7 linked regions of the Coturnix japonica genome follow. The protein of the gene in region 3 purifies or fractionates together with the protein of the main gene of each other region. This does not show direct contact. Links are inferred from orthologs where the notes say so. Each region holds a gene or a part of one and is shown on either strand. Other genes may lie near its edges. The genes, in order: MLF2, AMBRA1, BAG2, SGTA, UBAP2, DNAJB4 and RASAL2.

Region 1 (3,995 bases), on a different chromosome or scaffold from region 3:
TGATTCCTTTTTCCCTTCTTCAAGTGGCTTCTTGTTCTCGTTTAGAGCAGACCAGAACTCACACGCAATGTTATTACCCTTTGAAGTCCAACTGTTTGTATTATTAATCCTTTTCTGAACTAGAATGATTCCAGGATGCTTCATTGAGTCAATCCCGCAGAGCAAGGCACCTAAAGCTGCTGGATCTGGAATAACTTATTTCCCCTGTATTACTACAATAGATAACTGAGATCAACAAGCTCCAGGAACAACATTTTCCCACACATCCAGCAATTCTCACTCCAATTCTGTTCTCTTGAATTACTCTTTTAGCTTTTCATTCTGCAACCATTTTCAAAGGAAGTTCAATTACCGCCTCTGCCTAATGACGGCCGAGTCTTTTCCATGTGTCATCACAGTTTCACAACAATCTCCAAACAGATCCACAGCTTCTTCTTAGACACATGAGGTTAAGAGACCCTCCGTTCTTCCTAGATATCACCTATCTCAATTCCTATGAAATACCATGCTGTAACAGCTTTATGGATCTCCTCTGTTCAAGGTGCCCGTATAAATGGACTCCTCTAAAACAGCTCCACAGACTACACTGAAGTATGAGGAGAAGTGGAAGGTCTAAAACCATACAACTCAGGAATAGCAGTGCAGGAGGAACCAGTTATCTTCAAACTTGACACTGAAAAACAGAGGACTTACCATGCCCAGCATCCCAAAGGGTGAAACAGCTCCCGCCTGTTGAGACAACAGAAAAACAGAATAAACGATGATCTTGCAACAGCCAAACACCAGATACTCCTCAGAGCCCCTCTCTTACCTGCATCCTACGGCCAGCCTGGCGAGCCCCAGGCGTGGTCCCATCAGTGATACCAAGCAACGGGCCAAAGCCAAAGCTTCCAGAAAGCATGCGGTTCATGTGCTGCCGGTGGATAGCAAAAGGGTCCCTTTGGGAAAGATTGAGAGAACAGTGGTGAGAAAAGGATGACAGAACACTGAGTCCTGTATAATACACACATTCTGACTCGGAGTTTCTCTTATGCAACTGTGACTGTATTTTCTAAGCTGAAAATCCAGAAGCTCAAGAACACACACAGTGTTGCGTATGCTAATCCTTAGGGCTGGATCCCATTTCTTCTCTTGTGACTGAAAGTATTATGCCACAGAACCTCTCTTACACACTAACTAATGTCTATTCAGCACCAGCTCCATGCTCTGTTCCCACTAATACTTTTGAGCCAAGCTCCAAAACCTCACTGCTCTACAAGGTAAAAGATCTGCAGTCCAAGCGCTACCATCATCTCATACTCATTTCCTCTTGAGCCATCAAAACTCTTTGCATTAGCAGCCTCTGCTTTAAGGACATACTTGTACACGCTGGAGAAGCAAGGAGGGAAAAAGTAGAACAGGGACAGTCCCAAATAACAGCAGCCACGCTAAAGAGCCTGAGAAGCATCACAGCATTTCTCTGCACATCTGGTAGTTCTGCATTCATCCCTCCAGAGCACAAACAACCTGAGCAGCACGTAATTTCCTGAGATCACAAAAGCACCGAGCACAACCCAATACTTTCCTGTTTCTGCTGGGAATACTTTGCATAATAAAAGCGAGACTCATAGCTGCCACATCAGTGAGAACTGTACACTCACTCTGTGACTGAGACTTCCAGGTCTCCTCTCCTACTCATTGGTTTATGGTTGATAACATTCTTATAATCAACTTTATAAGCAAGAGCAGGGCTTTGTTTTCCTACATATATTAATTGTAACTAATGTATAGCAGTGCCACACTTCATACAAACTCCTACCATATAACACTCTTGTCCTTAACTGCTTTGGCAACAACCGCCACCTCTCATCAGTTGCAACCCATTTCTGAGCAGGGGATAGAAATAAAAGCAACCAGTAAGAGGAACCCCAAAGCAAAGCATCATTGGGACCCACATCAGGTTTTCAGGCTTGTGTTTTAAAACGCCTAGAATTCTCCTCATTTAGTCCCTCACAACGTGACAGCTCCCTCAGCAGCCTCCTCCAGCTCCACTAATGAATTCTTCGGCGGGGTAGAAACGAACAGGCACAGATGATGTTATCAAACCTTACTCGTTATACGCAGCAATCCTTAAGCACAGCTAAAGGTCACAGAATCACACAGAATCACAGAATGACCCAGGTTGGAAGGGACCTCAAGGATCATGTAGTTCCAACCCCCCTGCCTGGCAGGGCCACCAAACATACACAGGGCCACCAAACATACAAAAGGTCGGGCGCTCCAGCGCTGCTTTCCTCACACACTCACAGTGTATTTGGCCTACTTTATTCAATGTGTCCTCAAAGCCACAGTGGTTCGGCTGGCACGAAACAGGCCGCTCCCATCCCCCCATGACCCCCCTCCCCTCCGTGCAGGCCGTGCCGCAGCGCCCCGGCCCCTCGAGCCGACTCACATAGCGAACATGGGATCCTCGGGCTCGCCGTCCCTCATCAACCGGAACATGCTGCTGCCCTGGCCGGGGGCGGGCTCTAAGGAGGGAGGGATGGAGGGATGGAGGTTGAAGCGCTGAGCAGGCCGCACGTCGCAAAGGCGGCCGCCCCCAGACCCGCACCTCACCTCCCCACCACCACCACTACCACCCCCCCCGGCCCCAGGCTCGCCCCCACCTTGTGCCCCTTCTCCGTGCGGTGCCGAGGGGCAGACGGCAGGAAGAAGACGAAGAGCAGAAGGATGCACACACGGGCCGCTCACTCCCGTGCTCCCATGGCGGCTCGCAGCCCGCTCACCCCTTCCGCTCCAGCCGGCTCGCCCCGCGCATGCGCGCACAGCGCCGTGTGTCGGTGCGCTCTCGCCGGGCAGGAAGCGGCGCTCGGGCCCGTGTCGGGGCACAGCGCCCCCTGGCGGTCAGTGCGGCCCGAGCGCCGCTATGCTGCTCTATGGCAGCGGGCCGCCAGCTCACAGCGCACCCGTGGGCACCGACACTCACCCGGAGCCGCTGCCAACACCACCAAGGCATCACTGCCCCCCTCCGTGAGCCTCAGTCACACGTCTGACTGTTCCAGCATGGAAAAGCGTTTCCTGCTCGGCGTGTTCAACCCTGGGCGGGCACGTGGTGCATTGGGTGTGTGCAGACGGGCAGGGAGAGAGCAAGAATGGAAGCGTTATTTATGGGACTGGGAGCAAGGCTGCGATAAAATGACCTGCTTTCCACGGATCCCAGCAGCCATCCCACCCCCAGACATGGCAGGGCTCCTAAAGCTGCTTCCATACACAGCATCAGGCATTACTGCCTCCCCAACACAGAGCAGGAGTGCACACTGTAACCTATATGTAACCTATGTAACCTATGTAACCTATGTTACCAGCAATGTTACCAGTTAAGCAAATCTGGCTCACTGGTGGCTGAAGCCCCAGCAACACAGACAAGCTCCCCCTTGTTAGAAACGCAGAATCTGTCATAAATCAAAGCCATTACCCACACTGCCTCCCTTCCTTTTTTAAAGCAGTCCAGGCAGAGGAGAATGGGGGAAGAGGAGAGGCTGAGCCAAGGGCAAAATGGAAGCGAGGAGTGATGCCACTGCCCTGAGCTCCACCTTCTGCTGCTGACTCGCTGCCATTCAGCATCCCTCCCCCTAACGTCCCCAGCGCTGTTAGCTGCGCACTCAGCCAAAGGGGCAACCACAGCGTTTTCAAAGCAAACTGAATATCACGTGGCGTGGGTAAATAAACGCTATGTTTAAAACAGAAGGATACAGGTATGCGGCCAAAGTTCACAATCTACTGATCGGAGTAGAAGCTGCAACGAGGATACAGTGTGAATAGGAAGAAGCAAGACTGAGCCCTGGAACAGGCTGCCCAGGGAGGTTGTGGATGCCCCGTCCTTGGAGGTGTTCAAGACCAGGTTGGACGGGGCCCTGGGCAGCCTGATCTAGTAAAGGTGTATGTTTGGTGGCCCTGCCAGGCAGGGGGGTTGGAACTACATGATCCTTGAAGTCCCTTCCAACCCGGGTCATTCT
Region 2 (3,065 bases), on a different chromosome or scaffold from region 3:
GAGCAGAAGCACAGCAGCTGCTGGCAGGTGATCTGATGGCAGAGGAAGCATCCCTCAGTGCAGACAGTGGTAACAGACGCTGGGGCGTGCATTCCTTTATCCAGGACAGCCAGACCCTGGATCTCTTTTCTGCTTCAAGAGTTCAGCAAGACAGATCCCTCTCTGCTTGTCTAAGATGGACAGAGCTGTTACGTACCATTTTGAACAGGACAGGGGAAATGCTCCACTTTCTCTCTGTTGCAGTACCTGAATGATAGGAAATGCAGAAGTGCCTGCTCATCCCCAGACTGGTTGAAAGGCAAATTGCAATTGAGATTCTCTATTCCTCCCCTCTGCTGCATAGTTGAAAGCCTTCCACTCCAACGCTGAGCCTGCCATCCTTCCGGAAAGGGAATGACCATTATCTGACGTTTGTAAGCTACCCTGAGTTCCTGAGCTGGATGTACCTATCTCCCAAAGTCAATCCCATAGAGATCCATCACACAAATGAAGACAGTAGGTCAAGCAAGGGTTTGTCATATTTTAATGACATTAATCTTTGGTGTTTCCCTCGTTAGCACTCACACTCTCCCCGTCCTTCCTCCACAAACCTGCTAGGGATGGAGAGTTACAAACGAAAAGGAAAATCACATTTGAGACTAAAAACAGAATATCAGAGCCTTGATTTCTCCACTAGAAACTACATGTACAAGGTCAAGATTTCACATGCAACACCTTACATCACAGACCCATACCTCACACCCTGGCCTGGAGCTCAAAGACATTTCCTGCCCCCTGCCAAGGAGGTGCAGCTCAGTCCTGGCACCATGAAACCACTGGGATGGCTCATTCATGTTAAATGTTGGCACAACTTATGAACTGCATCCTGACTGGAGAGCAGTAGCCCCTGTCCCTCTATTCATCTACATAGCAGCTCTGCTTAGGTTCCTGGCAAGTACTAACCTAATTTCTAAGAAGGAAAGATCCCCACGTGTAAGCAGTTCCCGAGCCATGAAGGTTTTGATGAATCCTAGCTCTTCCCAGAAAAGACCACAGCACAGGACTGTGTCCTGGAAGACTCCTCTGCTCCAGCAACAGCGCTGGAGCATCACGCCCAGGTTTGCACAGGAGGGCTGCCAGTCTCCAGAAGGATGCTGCAGGCCTGTTTCCCTTCACTCTGCTGATCAGCCCCTATGCATAAATGGGCAGGAAAGAGGAAAGGGGAGAAGCATTACAAAGAATGACACTGACCAAACTGCAGGGTTGAGCTCAGGGGATCCCACACGACTTCAAAATCTGCATGGAGTACAGCCAGTATTGTTTATATTCCTGTTCTTATTCAGCAGTGGGAATGTTGGAAGTTAAGATACTATGCTTTCTTGCCCATGGCTTCCTCGCAGTTCTTATCCATTGCCACTCACCCAGGACATAGAAACCCTCTGAACTACCAACATCCTGTTGGAGCCACATGTCCCTACTCTTCCAGCTTCCGGCCAGCTGTGAGGTACAGGTCTCTGCTGAGCAGTACAAGGGTAGCACCAACACACAACTCATTTCTACCTGTTCCGCGACTCCCCACTGGTGCTGTCATTACTATAGAAGTTGGTACTGTCAGGAAGATGGTTATTATTAGTTAGGTCACTGTATTCGATTGGTCCCTCAGTGTCCATGGAGGGCTGGGCCTGCTCCGGCAGGTCCAGGTCACCAGTGCCTCGTCCTTCACTCCCACCAGAAGATGTCCGCGGGCTCAGGCCGTGCTCCGACAGCTGCATAGACTCTGAAAGGATCCGTCCCTCCAGCTCAGATGCCAGCTGCTGTGAGGTGGACTGATGTGCTGATGTTCCCTCAGCTCCAGTGGACTCCGCACCAGTCTGAGAGCTGCGGTGGATCCGGTGACTCACTATGATGTTGTTGCCAAAGCCACCCATGGACGCCATGGTGGTGCTCTGCTCCCGCTGCACCACAGCAGTCATGCCACCTTCTGCCATCAGCCTTTGTATCCTGCTCAGGGCATCCTCCCCACCGGCCCCGTATTCTGGACCTTCACCTGCAAAGAGAGAGCAAAAGCAACTTTGGTGCATCAGGCAGACTAAAGCACCAAGAAAATGCATGCACAATGTCACTGAATAACAGGGCACGTGTGCTGGGACAGAAGACAGGCTTTGCTCCAGTGGAAGTTCAGTATTTCATTTCTGTAACTTTCCTTCAAATGCCAAACAAATGCAGTGCCCTTAGTCAAGAAGTCCAGTGTGTAGGTTCCTGCTCTCCCCAACAGGTATTTTTTCGAGGAACATCTCTTAAGGTTTTTGTTTACTCTCCCTCAAACTTCCCCTCATAATCTGGTTGTACTGAGCTCTGAGGGAACCACTGTCAAATGCCTCTGAAAAAGAAAATCTCTTGGAAAAATAGCCCATGTAGATTAAAACCCACAGCAGGAACATTCAAGCCCAGTTCTGTTTTTCACCATTCTCCTTTTGCTACAAACCTTAACCAGACCGTCTGGGGAAAACAATCAGTAATCATGAACTGCCAGAATCATTCCACAGTGGGATCCTGACGATTCTTATTAAAGAGATAAATCTCACTCCCAGCTCCATGAAGCTATCACAGTGCTGATTAGAGGAGGAGAAAACCACGAGCTCTCCTGGCACCAAAGAAATCAACACAAATGTCAACAAGGCTAAGATGTAGGCTGAAGTTAAAACACAACAAAAACCAAAATGCCACGCTGACTAGGAAGACAAAACACCTGGGACTGTGGGATAGAGATCGTGTCTCCAGTATGGGAGCTGGGATATTCAGCACAGACAACACCATGCTGCTGTAGATGTTATTTTTTGTGGAAAAAACAAGATAGTTAAAGCTGTTAACATTTATGCAGTCAGTCGGTGACAGCTTACTCCTTTTATTCTCTGTCTCAGTGGTATTTGCATCAAATACCATTGACTTCCTCCACCACAGAGTATGCCTAATTTCTTCAAGCAAGCCTGCTGACATACTGCCCTGCTGTAGAAACACAGCAGATATTAAGGGCAAGCTTAATTCTCACAAGCAGAATAAGTCCTTTTCTGCTAGGAACGTAGCAA
Region 3 (4,072 bases):
GACAGGTAGGGGAACGTGCTGAGGAGATGCAGGCAGGCTTTGTCAAGGTAACAGTGTGGGTTCCTACCACTAGGTATTTCAGTGACTGACTGACTTTAAAAAAAAAAAAAGAGAAGGAAGAGAAGGGAAGAAAATAAATCGCCATGCGTGAATACAATCTGAACTGGCGATATATAGCCTCTGTCCACAGAGAAGGGGGCCTGGAAAGGTCACAAGTGGGTATCAGATTGACAGACAGGATTACACACCCAGTCACGCCAGCGGCCATTTCTGTGGGCTCCTGACTGCCCCTCCCCAGCTTGCTCTGCTGGCAGCGAGGGCACAGTGCCTAAGGCAGACCCGACTCTGGCAGCTTCCTCTCCTTGTAGAAGGCTGTCAGGTCTGTGCCTTACTGTGGTGAGTGCAGCAGTATGGGCTTCTTTCTGCTGGGTGAAAATATCCAATGACATCCTTATGGATGGAGTTTATCTGTTGCTTTCAGCATTAGTTTAATATTCCGCGGATCGTCTGAGCCTAAAAGAACCATTCTTCACTCCTGACTTGCCTTGGTCTGAGAGCGATGAGAGGTGCCATGCCGTTCTTCTCTGCATGCCATGGACATGAGCAGAGCATTCCCTGGAGGAACAGGTGGGCCGACCCACGCTTTGTTCCACCAGCAGAAACGTGATATCCGCTTTCCTGGGACAGCTGCAATAACGCATTAACCAGGGGCTTGCAGAAATAGCTCACTGCAGCTCGCCCGCTGGAGATGAATTTCCAGAAGGATGCAGAAACACTCAGTGAGGCCTCAGCGCTTTTTCCTGAAACACAGCTCAGCCAAAGTGCCGAGGCCAAGTGGGACCCTTCAGCCCGCTGTCCTCAGCTGCTCCTGCTGGGCTGGGGCTTGGAGTAATGAGCAGTGAGGAAAGGGCTGAGAAGAGGACAAAAGGTACAAGAAGTTATAAAGGGAAAGAAAGGAAACAAAAGCAGGAGTCTGTGTTTGTGCCTGTGCATCGTTAGACCTGGAACTACATGTCCATTTAATGCTGCCATCAGAACGCAGTGACTCATAAACAGCGGCTTCCAATGGCTGTGAGATCCCTTGACGCTGCACAGTAAGTTGGGGCAGTGGCTTGTCCTGAGCCTCTGCCAACACCTGCAGTGCGGGCCCAAACCTGGGCACCACTCAGCAGTAGCTCCTGGAGGTGCCTCAAATAATTGGCAAGAACTGCAAGGCCCAGGGAGCTGTGCACCCCTATGGCTGGTGGGTACCAGCCCACGGCAGCCCAGCATGGCCCTGGGGGAGGCAGGAAAAGGAGGGCAGCTGGGATCAGCTCTTCCAAAGGGATGCGGGGCCCAGCCAGCCTTCAGCCGCCTCATGGCCAAGTTCTTTATGAAGCCCCTCAACAACCCCATGGTGCACTATGGCACTCCTCACTGGTGGCATTCACAAGTCTTATCCACGGGGCTGCAGCTCGGTCACACCATCTGGAGAAGGAAGCAGCCCAGGCAATCTTCCTCCTAACATTCAAATGGCTTTAAAGTGAGGTGTCTTCACTGCTTACACACAGCAAAATTGAAACTTGGCTGACTTTAATCACAGCACTTTGCCCCTATTCTGCCATCATTCCACACTTAGAAATGTGCCTCTCTGGAAGGCCCACGGCAAGCAGGAGGGTTTCATTTTGGCCTTCGTTTCTGGCTAATCAAACTGTCTGCTTCGTGTCGGAGTTGCTCAGCACATTTAAAACCCACTTTTGCATACCCTCCTGCCTATCCAGCGCAGCATTTTGTAATTATACGCTACCACACTCCACCTGGATGCCAGCAGTGAGACCTGTTTGCAGGCACTGACTTTGTTTAGTCAAATTCGGAGAAGCCTGAGAAGAGCTCCGAGGAGATTTCATCAGTGAAAGGCTAACGCTGCTGCCTCCTGAATAATGCAAAGCAATGCACACAGAAAGGGAAAAACCCAGCTCTCGTGGGGCTCTGTAATTACAGAAAGACCTGGAAGCATCCCGGGTGGCTCTGAGAGCCGCTCAATGCACGGCGGGCTGTGTGGGACAGCAGCGCTGCTGGCTGAAGCGCGGTGCCCACCTCACCCGGGCAGCTCACACGGGCTGTATCCGGAGCTATTTACAAATAGGGCTGTGCCGCAGAGCGCAGTGCTGGCCGTACCACAGCTCAGGGTTTCAGAGCGGCAGCCGTCAGTGCGGGCAGCCCGGCGGGCACACAGAGGGTCTGCGAGCGCGGAACGTGGCCGTGCTGGGTGCCTGGGCTGAGAGAGGCACGGGGTGCACGAGCGTTACCGCGCTTCAGCTCCGAGCTTCCAGCAGCTCCCCACAGAGCAGAGCAGAGCAGCGCCTGGCGTTACACACATCGGGCCGGGAAAATCCGTTTCTCTTATAAAAACGCCTCTATTCCACGCACCCATGCACACGTCCCACGGCAGCGGGGCTCTCCCGCCGGGCCCCGCCGCCCCGCCGTCCCGTCCCTCCCGACCCCCCGCCGCCCCGGCCCCACCTGAGCTCCAGCTGGTCCAGGTTCTCGAGCAGGCGGCTGGAGCGGTCCGCCATGGAGGTGGAGCGGTAGAAGCGGCCTCGGAGCTGCCCGGCGGACGGCGGCTGCTGCTGCTGCTGCTGCTGCTGCTGGGGCGGCGCGCCCTCGCTCGCCTTGGCGCTGATCTTAGCCTGGGCCATAGCACTCGCCCGCTGCCGGCGGCGGCGGCCGCTCCCTTCCCGCGTCCCGCAGGCGGCGGCGGCGGCCGAATGCCGGCGTCCCGCTCATGGCCAAAGAAGGAGCCCGCCCGCCGCCTGCCCCCGCGGCACCCCGCCTCCGCGCCCCGCCTCGCGGCTCGGCCCGCCGGGCACCGCGGCGCGGAGCCGAGTCACACGCAGCGTCCTCAGCTCCCGCAGCCCTCAGGACCGCAGCGCCGCGTCGGCACCGGCGGCCTTCTTGCTCTGTTTCTGAAACTGGAGCTAAGGAAACGGGAGGGAGACTTTTAGTGTCTACACTTTACACGATGGCCGTTGTAGAATCACCGACTGGCTCGGGTTGGAAGGGACCTCAAAGCCCATCCGATGCCACCCCCCTGCTGTGGGCAGGGCTGCCCCCCACCAGCTCAGCTGCCCAGGGCCCACCCAGCCTGGCCCTGAGCGCCTCCAGGGATGGGGCACCACAGCTCTCTGGGCAGCTGAGTCAATGCCTCACCACCCTCCAAGTAGAGAATTTCCTCCTAATATCTATCTTAAACCTCCTCTCTTTTGATTTCAAATCATTTGTCTTTGTCCTGTCACTACTGGGCCATGATCTCAGTCTCCCTCCCTTTTATCATCTCCCCTTAAATACTGAAAGAATGCAGTGAGGTCTTCCAGACCCTTCTCCAAATCAAACGGACTCAACTCCCTTAGCATTTCTTTATTGGAGATGAGCTCCAGCCCTCTGATGATCCTTACGGCCTGCTCTGGACCTGCTCCAACAGCTTTGTGTCTGTCTCATGCTGTTAGTACAAAGACTGCAGAAAATTTGGAGGTCAAGGAAATTGGTCTGTGAGCAGAGCCAGAACTGAGCATTCTTAAAACCACAGTCCTTCAGATGATCCCAAGAACAGCACCTTGGTGCTAACGGACCCTGTCTCAGTGCAAGAAGTAGTCTAAGACAATACAGAAAGGCTTATGTTGGAAGTTGTTTCTGTTCTCCCTCAGTGCCCAACAGAACTGTATGTCCATTGAATGGTAGGAAACACAGCGGAACCACAGTCAGTAATGACGTTGGTGGGAGATCACATATCACTTCTCCACATGGAGCAGAACCTTCCCTTAGAGGAGCTCAGGAACCAGCTCCCACAGAAACCCCTTGATCCTAGAGTTCCAGCAGCTCAAGGCACACACAGGCTTTGCTTGCCATTGTTGTGACTGTTTAAAAAGGAATTTGCTTATCCCTAACTCCAGGTTTGGGCAAATACTGCATAGCTCCAGCAGCCCAATTTTTGGCACCCTGCTGAGAGAGATTGAGTTGCACAGAGATACTGCTTTGTGAGCCTGTCATGCTGCGGATCCAAATAGCTGTTTTCTCAGGCTTGTCCCTTCAGAGT
Region 4 (2,810 bases), on a different chromosome or scaffold from region 3:
AGCCTGAAGACTTGAAGGGGCTTTGCAGACCCTGCACTGATAGCCATGAGTCAATGTTGAGGCTGTCAGTAAACCTCATTTGGTGCAGAGCTATCAAATACCTTGTGTGAGGAGGAGCAGTGTAATAATTAAGCATAACACCAAGGAGAGAGGAATATTTGTCAGTACAGTAAGAAGCTGTTATAAATACTTCTGCATATCATGCAGCTTAATGATACAATTGCTCTTCTTTTCCCCTTTTAGTATCAAACAAAAAAGATTTGGGTGTGTTTTTCTACTCTGAGCAATGACTCTTCTTTCCACAGCATGTCTGGGATGATTTCTGGTGGCCATAACCCCATGGGAGCAGCAGGCACCAGCCCCTCCACAAATGACCTTGCCAGCCTCATACAAGCGTGAGTAAAGAGCTGGCTCTTCTCCATGACCTTAATCACTAAACAGACTTACAGATATTGTGATCAAAAGTAAAAACTTCAGTTAAGGGTTGAGTAAAGCTGCACTGTAACGTGAACTGCTTGTTAGAGCAGGGTTCTGGCAGTCACCTGGGATGAATTCCATAGCCCTATGGGTGTGTGAGGACACAGTAACTGTAGCTTGTTCTCCTGCAGGGGCCAGCAGTTTGCTCAGCAGATGCAACAACAGAATCCTGAACTAATAGAACAGCTACGAAGCCAGATCAGGAGTCGAACTCCAAGTGCCAGCAATGAAGATCAGCAGGAATGAGCATTACAGGTGAGGCTGCGGGGAGGATCTCAGTGTTGTGCTGCAATATCTGCCTTGTGCCTTCACTTAGCAGCTCAGTTTCTCTTCCCCTCCATACAGACTGAGCTCTCTGCTGCTGCTGTGCCTTGGGGAGACGCAAGGCTCAGCTCTGCAGAGCTTTGAATAGACCTCCCTCATGCTTTGTGACTGGCAGATGAATGGTGTTAGCAGTTAAAGGGGGCTGCTGATGTTATAGGTCTCTGATGTTGAATTGGGGTTGCTGTCTTTACTCATAAACTCAATTCACAAATGTCTTCTCTTCTTGTCTCTGCAGTGCAGTCCGTGGGATTCACCTTCTTTGCTTTACAAACTGGAAGCCATGTGCGTGGTGCCATTTGAATTGGAAGTGTCCAAGAAGGGGAGAGAGGGGAGGGGGGGGGATAAAACAAACCCACCCCCAACACAAAATCCTTCCTATGACCTGCATGTTCAAGACCAGCTTCACACTTTTCTTCCCCCAGTCTTCGTCCTGCTCCTCCCCCTCCACCTTTCCCATTAAGTTTTCTTCTGGAAGATCCAGCAAACACCAAACCAGCACCAAACAGTCTTTCTAAAGAGACTCAGTCATTCACGACGCTGTTACATTTCTATGGTCTTTGCTACGTTGGAGGGCATTTTTTAACCCCTTTTTGAAGAACGATGAGCTCTTCACTACAGGACACCTTTGCTTTCCTGCCTACACTTCAAAGAAGTGTTGGAGTCCCACCTCCATCCTGCTTCCCCTCCATCTTCCTGCCACTTACAAGACAGTGACATTGGAGACCACTGGATCTTCTTACCTCCAAGGACAGGCTTTCTCTTGATGTTACTCATTCAGGTCTGTAGCAACGTTGTGTTGTTCACACACATAGGATCCGATGGCTGCCTCTCTAAGGTTCCCATCATTATATTGGATGGGTTGGGATTGATGAGGTAGAACGAGCGTTTCCAGTTACACCTCTTGGGGTCCATCCCCAACCTTGACAAGAACTCATTTAGTGTTAATAGTAATTAGTGTTGGAATGAGCCAATCTGTGAACTAGTCGGGTGGACATTAAGGAAAGATATCATGTTTTCGGTGTTTAAAAGGTTTCTCTTTTGCTTTTTGATGCATGTAAGTAACCAACCCAGTTGATAATAGGAGTAAAGAGAAGGAAGGATGGAATAAGAAGCAGAAGGAATCCAAATGCTCCTTGGATATAGAAGGAAATACATGGAAATAGAGAATGAAAGGGCTGCTGGTTCAATGTGGGAGGATGGAGGAGATCCTTGTTGCTGGATACCTGCAGCTTCCCACCTCCCACAGCATCCTGGATGGGGATGGAGGCTTTGGGATCAGCTATAGGGCTGTATTAAAGGGTTTTCTAATGTATGGGGCCCTATTGCTGGGCATGGGGGCAGCTGGATGGCTGAGGATTGAATGGGAGATATAGGAGACCTGGTGGTACGAATGAGCAGGTATGTTGAATATCAAGGGAAACCAACAGATCTGTACATGCTCCGTAAATTTAATCTGTGGTTCATGTAAACTCGTGAAGAATAAACTATTTGGACACTCTTTGCTATCTATCCCCTTCTTATCACAGTGATTGAACTATCCGGCTCCATCAGCACAGCGGACAGCGCTGCCAACGGAGCAACCCGGAACCTTTCATCGCGCTGCGTGTTTCCGGCGGACTCCATTCTGCTGCACACCCCCCTAACGGGGAGTGGGCGGGCTGATTGATGTCTACCTCAGCCAATGGGAGCTTGTGATTATCATCTCAGCCAATAGGAGTGCGCCGCACGCCTGAGGGGGCGGGCGCTGCGCGGGGGCAGGCAGGACGGGGCGCAGGAGGGGAACGGAGAGTGAGTGGGGGGCGTTGGGGATGGGGGGGGATGGGAGGGAACGGGGGTCGGTCCTGAAGGGGTCGGAGCCGGCCCTGAGGGGGATGGGACGGTCCGAGGGGGGTCTCTATTGAGGTAGCAGCGAGTTGAGGGCTGTTAGTGGGGAACTGGGGGTGAGGGGGGGCTGTGGTGGGGATTGAGGCCTGTGGGGGGTTATGGGATATGTGGGGGGTTATGGGATA
Region 5 (4,296 bases), on a different chromosome or scaffold from region 3:
AAGCAAACAGGATGCATTGGTCTACAAACCAGCAGACTGTATCAGGGAGAAAAAGAAACAAAATAAATAAAATGTTAAGATTCAGCAGACCACCAACACTAAAGTATGGTTATTACTTGTATTTCCTCACACCTTCCCTCAACAGCTTTGAAGTACACAAATGTAACACAAAGTCTCTTCCAATCTGGCCTTTTGTAAAGGAGACAGTCCCTCAGCTTCTACCAAGGATGTCAGGGCTGCTCCTGTGCTCTTACTTAGCACGAAACAAAGATAAGAAGATCCATATTTGTGTTCTCTCTTATTCTTTCACAAAGAACCTGGTCCAAGCACTGGTACTAACCATAACTGAAAGTACAAGTAAACATTACTATTAATACCAATTATTAACGTAATATCAATATTCCACCATGCAAACATCTGTCAAGTACCATCAAACAGCATATTGTTCTGCTATGAGCACTATCAATAGGGGGACACCAGCAACAAATATAAAACATACTAAGAATGGTGTCTTATGAGGAAAACATCACATAAAAGTGCATGGAATAAAATAAAATATCCCAAAAGCAGAGCAAAGCAAAAACAGAAAGAGCAAGTTACAGTAACCAACAAGATTCTGTTGGTGGGATTTTCCTTGGCTTCCCCTACATTTTAGTGGTAAATCTGCACTTCCAACCTTGAAATCCTCTTGCAATCTCAGAAGCTTTCCTGAGGACTAGTCAAAACAACAGAAGTGGAACAGACCAAGGTTCTGAACTTCTGTGCTTTTGTCCGGGGGCGGCGGGGCCCCGTCTGTCCCTCCGTCCCTCAACAACAACTTTTGTTGTTGTTGTTGTTTCATTATTATAAACACTTTAAGTCAGTATGCTGATAAAATTGCAGCTAGAACAAAAGAGAACTGAGCATTCCCACTCCTCCCTCCCCCTTCCAACTTACAAAGACTGTTGAGGTTATAAACAAAAAGCATGCCCATTTTCCAGACTACACATCAAAATCAGTTCACACCAGTTAATCCAGTTTCTCCATGTAACACTCCTGGAGCCCCAAAACATCATCAATGCTGCTAAATGATTTGGCCTATCTTACTTTAAAGTTACCTAGCATAAGGTTAAAAATAAATTCTTTAAGCAAGTTAGGTCAAACCACCACAGAGAGATCAGGCTCGGGTATAAATAGTGAGTCACTCAGGTAAAAATGCAAACCCAGATTCCATCACAGGCCACGATATAACCGAGAGAATTGCTAGAAGGGGCTGGTAAATACTTAAAAAACAAACAAACAGGTTTCCAAAGGCTTAGCTGATGCTGTTTTCTGTGAAGGGCTCCATTTTCAATGGAAAGTGTTGCTCTAGGCCTGCACATCCTCCCTCTCCCTTCACTTCACTCACATCCAGCTCATTTCTCTCCTTGAAAACAAATTAAAAAGCCACTCTCCCGCCAGGACAGCCCCTCCATTTCAGTAGTGACTGCCACCCCAGAGGGCACTGCCTTGATCTGCTGCTTTATTATAAACCTCCATCACTTGCTCAAATTGAGATGACTAGAGCTTGATCACTGCTCCACGCTTGGCCCTTGTGAGCTTCCCCTCACACAGCTCAACACAAAGCCACAACCTGCTCTTTCACGAAGCTCCTCTGAACACGATCAAGAGGACTGTGAGCACTCAGACACACAGCTGTATGAGGCTGTAAGCCACAACACCTGAGCGACCGCAGACACCACAGCACACCTTCCTACATCTACAGCACCTTACAGAGCTCAGATCCAGCAGGACTCCAAGGCGCACCAGATCCCTCTATACACCCAGGTCCTTCCAGATGGGTTTCTCCAGGTCAACTTCCCTGCTGTAATTTCCTTCAGCAACAACAGCAAACAACTCTTATTATTACTATTAAGCGCAATATGACCAAGCTCCATAGCAAAGCCCTGACAGACTTCCCACGCATACCCAGGCTCACAGGGGCCCGTTCCCAGCCCTGTCCTCACACAACCCGCTGCGGGCCGTCCCGAGCACAGCCCCATCCCTATGGAGGCCCCCAGCGCGGATGTGGCATGGAAGCACAGCCCGGCACGGGGCTCAGACAGCAGACATCCATCCCACCAACGCCTCCCCACACCCCGACCCCCGAGGCCTCACCACGGGCCGCCTCCCAAGGCGGGAAGCAGCGCACCTCAGGGCCGAGCCGCCGCCTCACCAGGGCCGTGTGCCCGGCGACAGGGGGCGGGCCGCAGCTCCGGAGCAGCGGGCGGTGTGGAGGGCGCCCACAAAAGTAGGGCAGAGCCGCACGGCCCGGCCGGGCCTCGCCTCCCCCCGCCCACAGCGCTGAGGGACGGACCGGGCCCCGCCGCCCCCGGACAAAAGCGACCGTTGGGCCTCGGCGCTGCGAGGGCGGAGGGTGATGGAAGGGGGGGGGCACGTAACGGCCGCTCCAGAACGCCGGGGGTGTGAGGGGGGGGGGGGGCGGCGGGTCCACAACGCCCCACGGCGGGTTCACAACGCCCCACGCGAGACGCGGCTGCCCCGTACCCCTGTACCCCCATACCCCCATACCCCGTACCGCCGTACACCGTACCCCATACCCCGTATCCCCGTACCGCCGTACTCCTTACCCCATACCCCGTACCCCGTACCCCATACCCCATACCCCCGTACCCCTTACCCCGTACCCGGTACCTGCACAGCGTGCTCACAAAGCAGCAGCAGCAGCGGCGCCCACCCGCGTCACGTGACCGCCCCTCGCGCCGCTCCCTCCTCCTCCACTCCACGCGCGCGCGAGGCCGCTCCCCCGGCACGTGACGTGACGTGACGTGACGCGACGCGACGCGACGCGACGCGACGGGACGTGACGCGCCGCCGCGCCCCCCCCCCCCCCCCCCCCCCCCCCCCCCCCCGTCCCGCCGCCCCGCACGCACCAGCAGCGCGCCCATCCGCCGGCCCTTCCGCGGCACCACGTGACCACGGCGACGGGGCACGGCCTCTTCCTCGTCACGTGACCGCGGCTCCGCCTCCCCGCCGGCCGGAAGTGGTCGGCCGGAAGTGGACCCGTCCACCACAGCGCGGGGTGTCGGTGTGGATGGGGCGCCCCTCGGTCACGGCCCGGTTCACTGGGTTCCTCAGCACGTCTGGGCTGTAATGGAGACCCTGCATTGAGCACAGCATCAGGCCTGGCAGGCAGATCCTCCCCATTCAGATATTTAATTCACTCTGTTCTGCTCATGTCTGCGCTATATCTGCGGCCTCCCCAGTGTTACCGTTTGTTTATAAGGGATTTATCCGGTGAAGGTGCTCATCCCCCCGGGCCGTGTGTTTAAACTCACCTCAACCTCGTTTTTCATAGTCACCCATTGCAGATGTCTTACATAGTTGGCTGGAAACCATCGTTTTAGTCTGTTGGTGTTGGCCAGTAACATTGAAGGGGGAAAGAATGCTAATGTTAAGAAGGAGAGAATGCTAATGTTAAGAATATCACCCTGCTTCTGATTGAGAAGTCTGCTCTACTTCTGCGTTATTCTCTAAGGTCCCTTCCAACCCGCACAAGACTATGAGACTATGATGCTATCATTATAGGCAATAATCAGAAGGGTGGAACTACTGAAAGTCTTGAATTCAGTGTGAAAGTGTGCCAAGAGACGTTGCCTTTCCAGGGCAACAACCAGGGATTGCTGCTGCATTTAGGTTTGAGGTGAGTCTCCAAAGATCCTGTCTGGAAATGGAGTTATATACAATAGTGTGCTCAATTGTGTTAATGTGCATCCCAAGGCACAGCACCATTCAGCAGCATTTGTTCTGCCAAAGGTGACTGAGCTGTGGGTGCCCTTCTGGCATATATGGCATTCACTGATTCATGGTGTTAAAGGCAGAAGGGGTGATGATATCATTGTCTACTCCTCATATAGACCAGGTCATTAAAATTCCTGGCATTCACGGGCCGCATTAGTCTGTTACATCTCAGCATCACCCTGCAAATTGATGCTGGACTGCCTGATGAGCCCTTCAGCATCACTTCATACCCAGAGACAGACCCTCTTCTGTAGGTGCTGCCTGCAGCCCTTGGTCCAGGTGTTCTCACCTTGACATTTGAGTTCATGGAAGAAGATGACATGTTTTCATGAGACTCAACTCTGGACTTGCTCTGTACAAATACATTATCCCCATTATTGGTTTATTTTCCTTCATTTTTTTCCCCACAAAATGTTTGCAGTGACTCTGTATTCACTGCAGATCGCTGAGGACACTTTAGCAAACCTGAGTCTGATTCAGATCCTGCAGGGCCCCACTTTAAACGCTCATTTTGGG
Region 6 (3,500 bases), on a different chromosome or scaffold from region 3:
GCCATTAACTTTTAAAGTAACATACATATATTTTAGAATGATACACTTCTTCAGTTATATAGATTTCAGCATCTGCCATCATAACAAAAGATGAGAGAAAATGAAAAAACAACTTTACACTTTTTACTTAAAAACCACATAAGAAATGCAATACAGAACATATTGGGAATTCTTTAAACAAACAATATATAGTGTTAACAATACACATAAACATTAAGCAGCTAAGTTTGCCCTTTGTGATACTGCTCCAGCAATTGTTTTGTTCCTTGTAGATCTACTGCAGTTGTAGGACTACAACTGACAATGTACAAAGAGATCAGCAGTTGAAAAATTATTTGAACAGTATCTCCCAGAAGTTTTATTTCTTTGAGTAACAAAAATGGAATTTTTTGTGCTCATTAAAAAGCTATCGTAACTTGAATCCCAACTTCCATATTATTTACTTTCCCACAGAAAAGCGTTTATATGAAGTTAATACTGCTATTTCTTAAGCTACCTAACAAAGCAGGTAACTACCGAGTTTCCACTGTCAAAAGGCTAACAGCAAATCCTATATATTTTCTTCTTACGAAGAAAAGCATTCTTTGAAACTGCTGCTAAAGCACTCTATTATATTTTAAAACTCAAGTAACAAGAACAAATCTGCAAGGCATTTCTTTCACCAGGGAACCAGCCCTATTACAATATTACAAAACTAGACTATTACAGAGGGCTTTCCTTTTCCCTATTCACCTTTTAACTCTAAAGATAAGTAAGTCATATTTGTGTTCAGAAAAGACTCGATGCAAGCACGTAGAAGTTTGTGGGCAATTCCTATTCTATCATGTCCTCAGCAGACTTCTCCTTAGATAGGACCTGGGATTCTCCTTCTTCAATGTAAAAATTTGCATTATTTTCCAAGTCTGAACTTGAGATCAGCATGATCTTTAAATATCTGCTCTACTATGCAATTCTACAGTGTTCTTTATACATCTTTCCACAAAAAAAAAAAAACAAAAAACAAAACACAACTATTTCCTATGGATTCAAGCTGTCACATCAGCACCACCCATTTTTGGGCTAAGCCTAATTTGCAGAACACAGTCCTTAATACTGTCTATTGAAAGAGGCTCTTAAGTGAGTGTACACAATCATTCAGGTTGGAAGGAACCTCTGGTGATCACCCAAATCTCCTCAAGTATGGTCACTAGACCAGGCTGTGACCAGTTCAGTATTGAGGATCTCCAGGGATGGAGACCACAGTATTAAAAGAAAAAAGTGTATTACGTTGTCTCCATGCCTTTTGTCCTTTTTGTCCTGACATTGGGTGTTATTAAGAAGAGTCTGGCTCCCTTCTTTCCATTCCCTCCTTCCAAGTACTTGTACACATTCATCAGATTCCTCTGAGCTTTCTGCATTCCAGACTGAAGAGTTCCAGTTCTCTGTCCTTCACAGACTTGTTCCATCAAGCCACTGTCTTCCTTCTACTGGGGTGACCACAACAGGACACAGTATGCCAGATGCAGCCTCACCCATGAGGAACAGGGAAAAAGGATCACCTTCCTCAATCTGCTCACAAAACTTCCCAGTGCAACCCAGGAAACCATTAGTCTGTTTTGCTGCAAGGACACATTGCTAGTTCATGGTCAGTTTGTTGTCTGCCAGAAACTCAAAGTCCTTTCTCAACAAAACTGCCTTCCAGACAGTGAGCCCAAGACTGTACTGGTGCCTGGGTAATACTTCGGGGTGCAAGATTTTTACCCATTGCCCATTGAACTCTGTTTTTTCATTCTGTATGATTTTTTTGTTTGTTTGTTTGTTTGTTTTGGGCCACCAAAGCCCCTCTTAAGACCAGCACAATCAACACGGTGTCATCAGCCACTCCTCACATTCCTGCATGACATGCAAACTTGCTGAATGTGCATTCCATTCCATTCCCCAGGTCTTTAACAAAGATGTTGAATATTACTGTGTCTGCATACACCACTAGTGACTTACCTCCAAGTAGACTTTGTGACCCTGATAACAAAACCCCTGTGCCCACTCATTCAGTCTCTTTTTAATTCATCTCACTGTTCACCTATCTATCCTGTACTTTTCCAATTTGCCTACTAAAGTCAAGGTAAAGAACACAGACTGTTTTCCCATTATCCACCAAGCTAATCACCTCACTGTAGAGTGAAATCAAGTCATGATTCCATTTTGCATGATTTCCATTTTGTAAATCTATGCTGACCTTAAATCACATTACTGTCTTCCATGTGCTTGATTATGCTTTTTTGGAAGATATTCTTTCTGATCTTCCCAGGGACTGCATTAAGGCTGACTGGCTTGTAGTTCTTCATATCTTCTCTCTAGCTTTTCTTGAAGACAGGAGTGATATTTGCTTCTTACCAGTCTATAGAAACCATTCTCAAATCAAAAGATAATTGAGAGGCCTTGCAATGGCATTAGCTTCCTCAGCGCTTCTGCATGCAACCTGCCAGGTGTCATGGACTTTTGTACATCTAGTTTAAATGCACCTCTGTGTTGGTTCACCACCACTGAGGTTACCCCTTCCTTGTTTCAGGATTTCCTTCTGGTTTCAGGAGGCTGGGACTCCTGGTCAAGACTGTGTTACTGGTAAAGACTGAGGCAAAGAAGGCACTGAGCACCTCAGCCTTCTCCACATTACTTGCCACCCAGTTTCCCTACCCCATTTAACAACCGGGGCCCACACTTGCTGTACATGTACAATCCTTTCTTGCTGTACTGTCTGAAGCATGAGGAACTACTCAACAAATGTCTACTTTCTCCTCAAGCTACATGTCCTTTCCTAGACTTGTAATGCAGATCCCTCGCATTCTGATGAAATAAAGAAAATACTTTCATTTCAGTGGGGGGCAATTTAGGAGACCAAGCCAATTCTCCCAGTCTATGCTTCGTGCAGTGGAAAGCAAAAAGCCAAATAGTATCTTTACTGTTTTGTAATTTAGAATATTTGCACGTGTATATTTCTACTACCACATCCAATTTCTATATAAACCATTTCTGTTACAGATAGAGTAGGGAAATAAGGAATAAAGTACTTAGTGGCTTGAGTACTTTATCAGAAATATGCATTGGCTTTGTAAAAACTGACTACACTTCATATTAAGCAAAATACTGAGTAAGCTTTTCTGATTAGGAAGATCTAATATAAAATATGAGTGGTTTTCCCTGTAAATTATACTGCAGAAGTCATCTGTATGACTTGTACTTAACTCTTCTCATGCAGCATTACAGTATTTCCCCCCACCCAACCCACAAACAAAACAAAAAAAAACAACAAATATTCCACTAGTTGTTACACATTGCACTTTTAAAGCACAGACTTGCCAGTCTTCTGCATTTCCAGTGTCCTGCTTAAACAGTTGACATAGTCCTCGTTTTATGAAACTGGAAGATTCCGCCTAAGTACTTCTTTTGATGCTGGAGAAATGTTATCTGGAAAAATTACTTCAAACTCTATAATTAAGTCTCCACGTTGGTCAGGATTTTTG
Region 7 (4,105 bases), on a different chromosome or scaffold from region 3:
CTCTCACATATAACCCTTCTCTGCCCTTTACTTTCCATGAGCACCCCAACAACTTAACTGACCAGCATTTAGGAATGATTAGAGAACCATTTGTTCCAACACAGCACCAGAACAGTGTGAAAAAGGAACTACAGCATGTGCTGCCCTTTAAAGATTGCAAGTGTTTAATCCAAAATACTTCTGTCATATAGAACACCTTCCCAAAATAGCTTGCTGATAAATACATGGTGGCAGAGACCAAACCAACTGTCCAAAGCAACAGAGCAGCTTGCAGTAATGCCAGTTTCTCAGGAGGTCTCAACAACAGGAGGAGCCAAACCAACCCCTTAACGAGATGCGTTCAGAAGCAAAGTAGCACCGTCTCTTCATTTTTTCCCCATGTATTTCACAAGTACTGACAAGCCAAATTCCACCTGAGTGAGGTACTGGAAGAATACAAAGCAATGAACACATGCAGCGACTTCAAACAAACCCTAGGAGACTGATGGAGATAATCCTTCAGTGCTGCTGCTCTATGCTTGTTTTGCATTGTAAACCAACAAGGCTGCTCCCAATACCAAACACAGCCTGTAAATGACACCACCATCACTCAGACCCACTACCTGTGTGGACAAATAATAACAGCAAGCTGACTTACTTATTGTTTTCTTAATAAGGATGGCTCGTCCAGCAGTTTCAAGTAGGTCCAGATGTTACCAGGTTTTAATATGATAATCTGGAGGACTCTGGAGAGCACAGAGGTTTTGGAGAGGAGGAAGGCCTTGCTCCCCTCCCCCAGCACCTCCTTGGTCACTCAGATCAGGCTGGCATCCCACTAGAAAGCTCCATGGAAGACCAAGAGAACAGAATTTCTCCCTTTCTCCCATTTTTATTACATCTATTTTTTTCCTGCTTGATGAGTGTTGTTAACAGCAGGGCAGATTTAAATGGAATCTCAGACTGGCATCTTGCTGACCTCAATCCCAGCTGGCTAAACCTCTGTAACACTGCTGCCCTTGGCATCTAACAGAGAGCAGACATCAATTTAGCTGATTGACTGTAAAACTGTGAATCTGGTATGAGGAACTAGATCCATTCCACTGCCTTGCACACTGGATAAAAGACCACTTTATTTCCCTCTCTCTTCTCCTAGTACTTCATCTACAGTAGCAGGCTTGATACATCCATCAGCACACAACTACTCCTCTGAGGCTGCTGTGCTCACAGGACTGTATGCACCACACACACAGTTCATTTTGGAGAGAAATGCTTCTGCTTCCTCCAGAGACATCTGTTTTAACGGGACCTTCAGGTTTTTAAGCGCATGCCAAAACATCACGCCACTTCTCTATCAGGAAAGGCCTTCCCCCCCCCCCCCGTCTTTTTCTTTAATTAAGGCAGAACAGCAGAAGGTTGCAAATCTTATGTTACCAAACAGCAAAGTTCAAAACCGGTTTGAACAACTATGACACGACATGTAAAATAACTATACACACCTGTAACACAAACAGAACTTAACAGAACACAGTCTATTACCTGTGCACGGGTCAATTTGCCTATTGTCTGTTCTCCACTCCTCCAGTGCCTCACTGGGGGGCTGCTCCCCTCTTCGATTCATTATCTTTGAAAAGCCACTTGAGAGAGTTGAGAAGATGCCACGGACAAAATAGCTGTGCTGCTCACCATCCACAGAGCGTACTGACTGCAGAAAGGGCTTGGCACTCCTGTGTGCAGATTGCGGCACAGGTTCAGACAGGGAACGGTTGAAGGGAACCCGCAGTGATCTGGTCCTTGCCTGGAAGAGCATCTCCGTTGAGTCTTGGTGGAGATCCTCGGCGCTGGTAGCATCCATGCTTGCAGAACTCTTGTCAAGACTCGAATTGTTACCTTCCCCTCTAAGGCTGCCAGAGTGTGCTCTTTTGCTTATCCTCCAGGGAATACGGGGATGCGTTTGCCACCTGTACGCTCCAAGTGCTTTGTCTGGTTCCAAAGCTGTTTGTTTGCTCACCTTCTTGCTTCTTATTTGGTGGTACCAATGATAGTCCTTCAAGGCAGCAGCGCCAGCATCCTGTTCTGACAAAGACCTTCTAAAGGTCCTGGGAGAGAGACTGTAATACTTTTTAAAAGCACTCATCTTCCAGCTCTTGAATTCCAGATCTTAACTTGCATCACTCATCACTCAGGAGTCACATAGCTGTAGTTTCTGGCTCAGCATTTTAATGCCCAAATCATCTTCACTGCTGTGACTGAAGGATAGCAGAGGTTCTTCCTGATGAGCCAGAGCATCAATCCCAGCAATTCCTACATCTCAGCAAGGAGGACAAGCCCTCACCTACAGCAAGCTGCTCTCCAACCATACACTCAGCCTCGCTACGCCTGCTGCTGCTTCCTGCATTGTTGCAGCTCTGCACCGAGCTCTCAGGAAATGACTAAAAGAGCCCAGCCATGAAAACCCACAGTGCTGATCTGCACCAATCACACTTCACTTTTTCGTTTGGTAGACATTAAAGATTTGGTTAAACAAAAGAGAAAAAAAAGAATGTGAAAGTAGAGTCACAGCTTTAGGGTGACAGCAAAGTCCCCAAAAAAGTGTTCAAATTGCAATGTTCTGCTGAGGAGCCATGCACATTATGTTCTTCAGTTAAGTAGCAATGTACATCAAATAGAGCAAGACACAACATAAAGGCAATCCTTAGAGTTTATATTTACCACAAGCACCTCGCATCACCCCAGAGTTTCCTTTTAGAGAGGAGTAAAATACTCAGAGTCATCACAATTGGGTGCTGGAAGCTTCACAGAGCAAAGGCGAGGAATGGAGTAAGGAGAAGGAATGCTGCAACTTAATATAGTGAGAGTGTAAATACACCAAAGGCAAATAAGTAAAGGGGAGGAGAAAGAGCAGCGGGTGGGTGGGACTTCAACCATCCTGCACTGGAGCAGAGGTTGGGAAAGCCTTGAGGCATTATCCTCCAGCCAACAGAACACGATAAAGAGTATCTGTCTTTCTCCCCCCCCCCCCTTCTTTACTTTCATACATCTGGTTGGAATAAGGGTGGACAAAATGCTCCAATCTGCTTAATAGAGAAGGGAAAAAAATCCCCTCGCCTTCTCTACAATTTAAGAAACAGCTGACTGCTTTAAAATCTCATAAAGAAAATAGCTGCTGGTGAACTCAGATCATGCTTGCCAAGTTTTAGACCAGAACACTTAAATCTCAAGTCTACTAAAATCCCTGAAAATAGGAGGTTTATAATGGAAATGCTGACAGACCCTTGGCAATCAAGTAACAATGAAAACCACTTCTCTGGTTAAATAAAATGATAATCTGCTCTGGCAGACCAATAAAGCTTAACTGACCCGCTATGGGATCCTGCCTTTAAGCTTTGACAGCATTCATCAGCCAAAGTACACTCCTGACAGCTGCAGATGCAAAACTTCCTTACTTTTGTATGTGTATCAAAGAGGGTGTCACCACATGGAGGCTATTTGAAGCCGAGACACTGCATTACAAATTCTGCATCAAAACCACTGAAGCTGACTCTCCTTCTCCATTGGAAGTTGTGCTGCTCAGCACAGGCCCTTAATGGTAACACATACCTAAACAAAAGCTTTGCTGCAGTTTCCATACAGGGTAAGGATTCTCCCAGAGGCACAAGGCTGAGTGTGCCCAGCATGACGATGAGATGGAAAGCCCTTGGTGCTGAGGCAAAGACAGTGTTGAACACCCAGACTTAGGCTATTCCTGCTGTTACTCGGTCACTGACTTCCAGCAGTGAATCTTGGTTTTCTCGTAGAGCCTGTGGTCACAAAAGCAGCAGCAGAGCTTTGAACAAATGCTTTGAATTAGCCAGTCTGGTAAAACAGGCTTTATGGAACTTTAGAAATAAGAGTAAGTAAATCTGACAGATGACGCTGTGGTTCATTTTAATGGCACAAGCCACAATCTGCAGAGAAAACTGAGAATGTGGGATAGGTTTCTGGTCAGCCCTGCAAGACTTGCACAAGGTTTCCACTAGCACATCTGCACCAACTTTTGGGAGCACACAAGGGCAGGAGAGGACAACACAGACAGCTGGTGCAGTAGCTGAAGTCTTCCCAGGATCTGTTTGCTGCAGATTTCCAGCAT

What was found.
Region 1: the proteins of BAG2 (region 3) and MLF2 purify together in Homo sapiens (affinity purification with mass spectrometry; 4 studies listed by BioGRID and IntAct, with this or other methods). This does not show direct contact. The link is inferred for Coturnix japonica from reciprocal best matches to the Homo sapiens genes BAG2 and MLF2.
Region 2: the proteins of BAG2 (region 3) and AMBRA1 purify together in Homo sapiens (affinity purification with mass spectrometry; 3 studies listed by BioGRID, with this or other methods). This does not show direct contact. The link is inferred for Coturnix japonica from reciprocal best matches to the Homo sapiens genes BAG2 and AMBRA1.
Region 4: the proteins of BAG2 (region 3) and SGTA purify together in Homo sapiens (affinity purification with mass spectrometry; 3 studies listed by BioGRID and IntAct, with this or other methods). This does not show direct contact. The link is inferred for Coturnix japonica from reciprocal best matches to the Homo sapiens genes BAG2 and SGTA.
Region 5: the proteins of BAG2 (region 3) and UBAP2 purify together in Homo sapiens (affinity purification with mass spectrometry; 3 studies listed by BioGRID and IntAct, with this or other methods). This does not show direct contact. The link is inferred for Coturnix japonica from reciprocal best matches to the Homo sapiens genes BAG2 and UBAP2.
Region 6: the proteins of BAG2 (region 3) and DNAJB4 purify together in Homo sapiens (affinity purification with mass spectrometry; 4 studies listed by BioGRID and IntAct, with this or other methods). This does not show direct contact. The link is inferred for Coturnix japonica from reciprocal best matches to the Homo sapiens genes BAG2 and DNAJB4.
Region 7: the proteins of BAG2 (region 3) and RASAL2 purify together in Homo sapiens (affinity purification with mass spectrometry; 3 studies listed by BioGRID and IntAct, with this or other methods). This does not show direct contact. The link is inferred for Coturnix japonica from reciprocal best matches to the Homo sapiens genes BAG2 and RASAL2.

The regions. Positions count from the first base shown.
Region 1 is NC_029516.1:69,478,777-69,482,771, forward strand, and holds the start of MLF2 (myeloid leukemia factor 2), read right to left. Parts: upstream 2,801-3,995; 5' UTR 2,646-2,800; intron 2,508-2,645; 5' UTR 2,482-2,507; coding exon 2,432-2,481; intron 939-2,431; coding exon 812-938; intron 730-811; coding exon 694-729; intron 1-693.
Region 2 is NC_029520.1:21,106,387-21,109,451, reverse strand, and holds the end of AMBRA1 (activating molecule in BECN1-regulated autophagy protein 1), read right to left. Parts: intron 2,027-3,065; coding exon 1,536-2,026; 3' UTR 501-1,535; downstream 1-500. UniProt on the Homo sapiens protein: Substrate-recognition component of a DCX (DDB1-CUL4-X-box) E3 ubiquitin-protein ligase complex involved in cell cycle control and autophagy.
Region 3 is NC_029518.1:79,197,086-79,201,157, forward strand, and holds the start of BAG2 (BAG family molecular chaperone regulator 2), read right to left. Parts: upstream 2,801-4,072; 5' UTR 2,679-2,800; coding exon 2,503-2,678; intron 1-2,502. UniProt on the Homo sapiens protein: Co-chaperone for HSP70 and HSC70 chaperone proteins. Acts as a nucleotide-exchange factor (NEF) promoting the release of ADP from the HSP70 and HSC70 proteins thereby triggering client/substrate protein release.
Region 4 is NC_029543.1:2,303,230-2,306,039, forward strand, and holds the end of SGTA (small glutamine-rich tetratricopeptide repeat-containing protein alpha), read left to right. Parts: intron 1-305; coding exon 306-395; intron 396-608; coding exon 609-723; 3' UTR 724-732; intron 733-1,036; 3' UTR 1,037-2,310; downstream 2,311-2,810. UniProt on the Homo sapiens protein: Co-chaperone that binds misfolded and hydrophobic patches-containing client proteins in the cytosol. Mediates their targeting to the endoplasmic reticulum but also regulates their sorting to the proteasome when targeting fails.
Region 5 is NC_029547.1:6,914,978-6,919,273, forward strand, and holds the start of UBAP2 (ubiquitin-associated protein 2), read right to left. Parts: upstream 2,801-4,296; 5' UTR 2,674-2,800; intron 1-2,673. UniProt on the Homo sapiens protein: Recruits the ubiquitination machinery to RNA polymerase II for polyubiquitination, removal and degradation, when the transcription-coupled nucleotide excision repair (TC-NER) machinery fails to resolve DNA damage. May promote the degradation of ANXA2.
Region 6 is NC_029523.1:16,608,729-16,612,228, forward strand, and holds the end of DNAJB4 (dnaJ homolog subfamily B member 4), read right to left. Parts: coding exon 3,389-3,500; 3' UTR 102-3,388; downstream 1-101. UniProt on the Homo sapiens protein: Probable chaperone. Stimulates ATP hydrolysis and the folding of unfolded proteins mediated by HSPA1A/B (in vitro).
Region 7 is NC_029523.1:5,256,396-5,260,500, reverse strand, and holds the start of RASAL2 (ras GTPase-activating protein nGAP), read right to left. Parts: upstream 2,801-4,105; 5' UTR 2,114-2,800; coding exon 1,516-2,113; intron 1-1,515. UniProt on the Homo sapiens protein: Inhibitory regulator of the Ras-cyclic AMP pathway.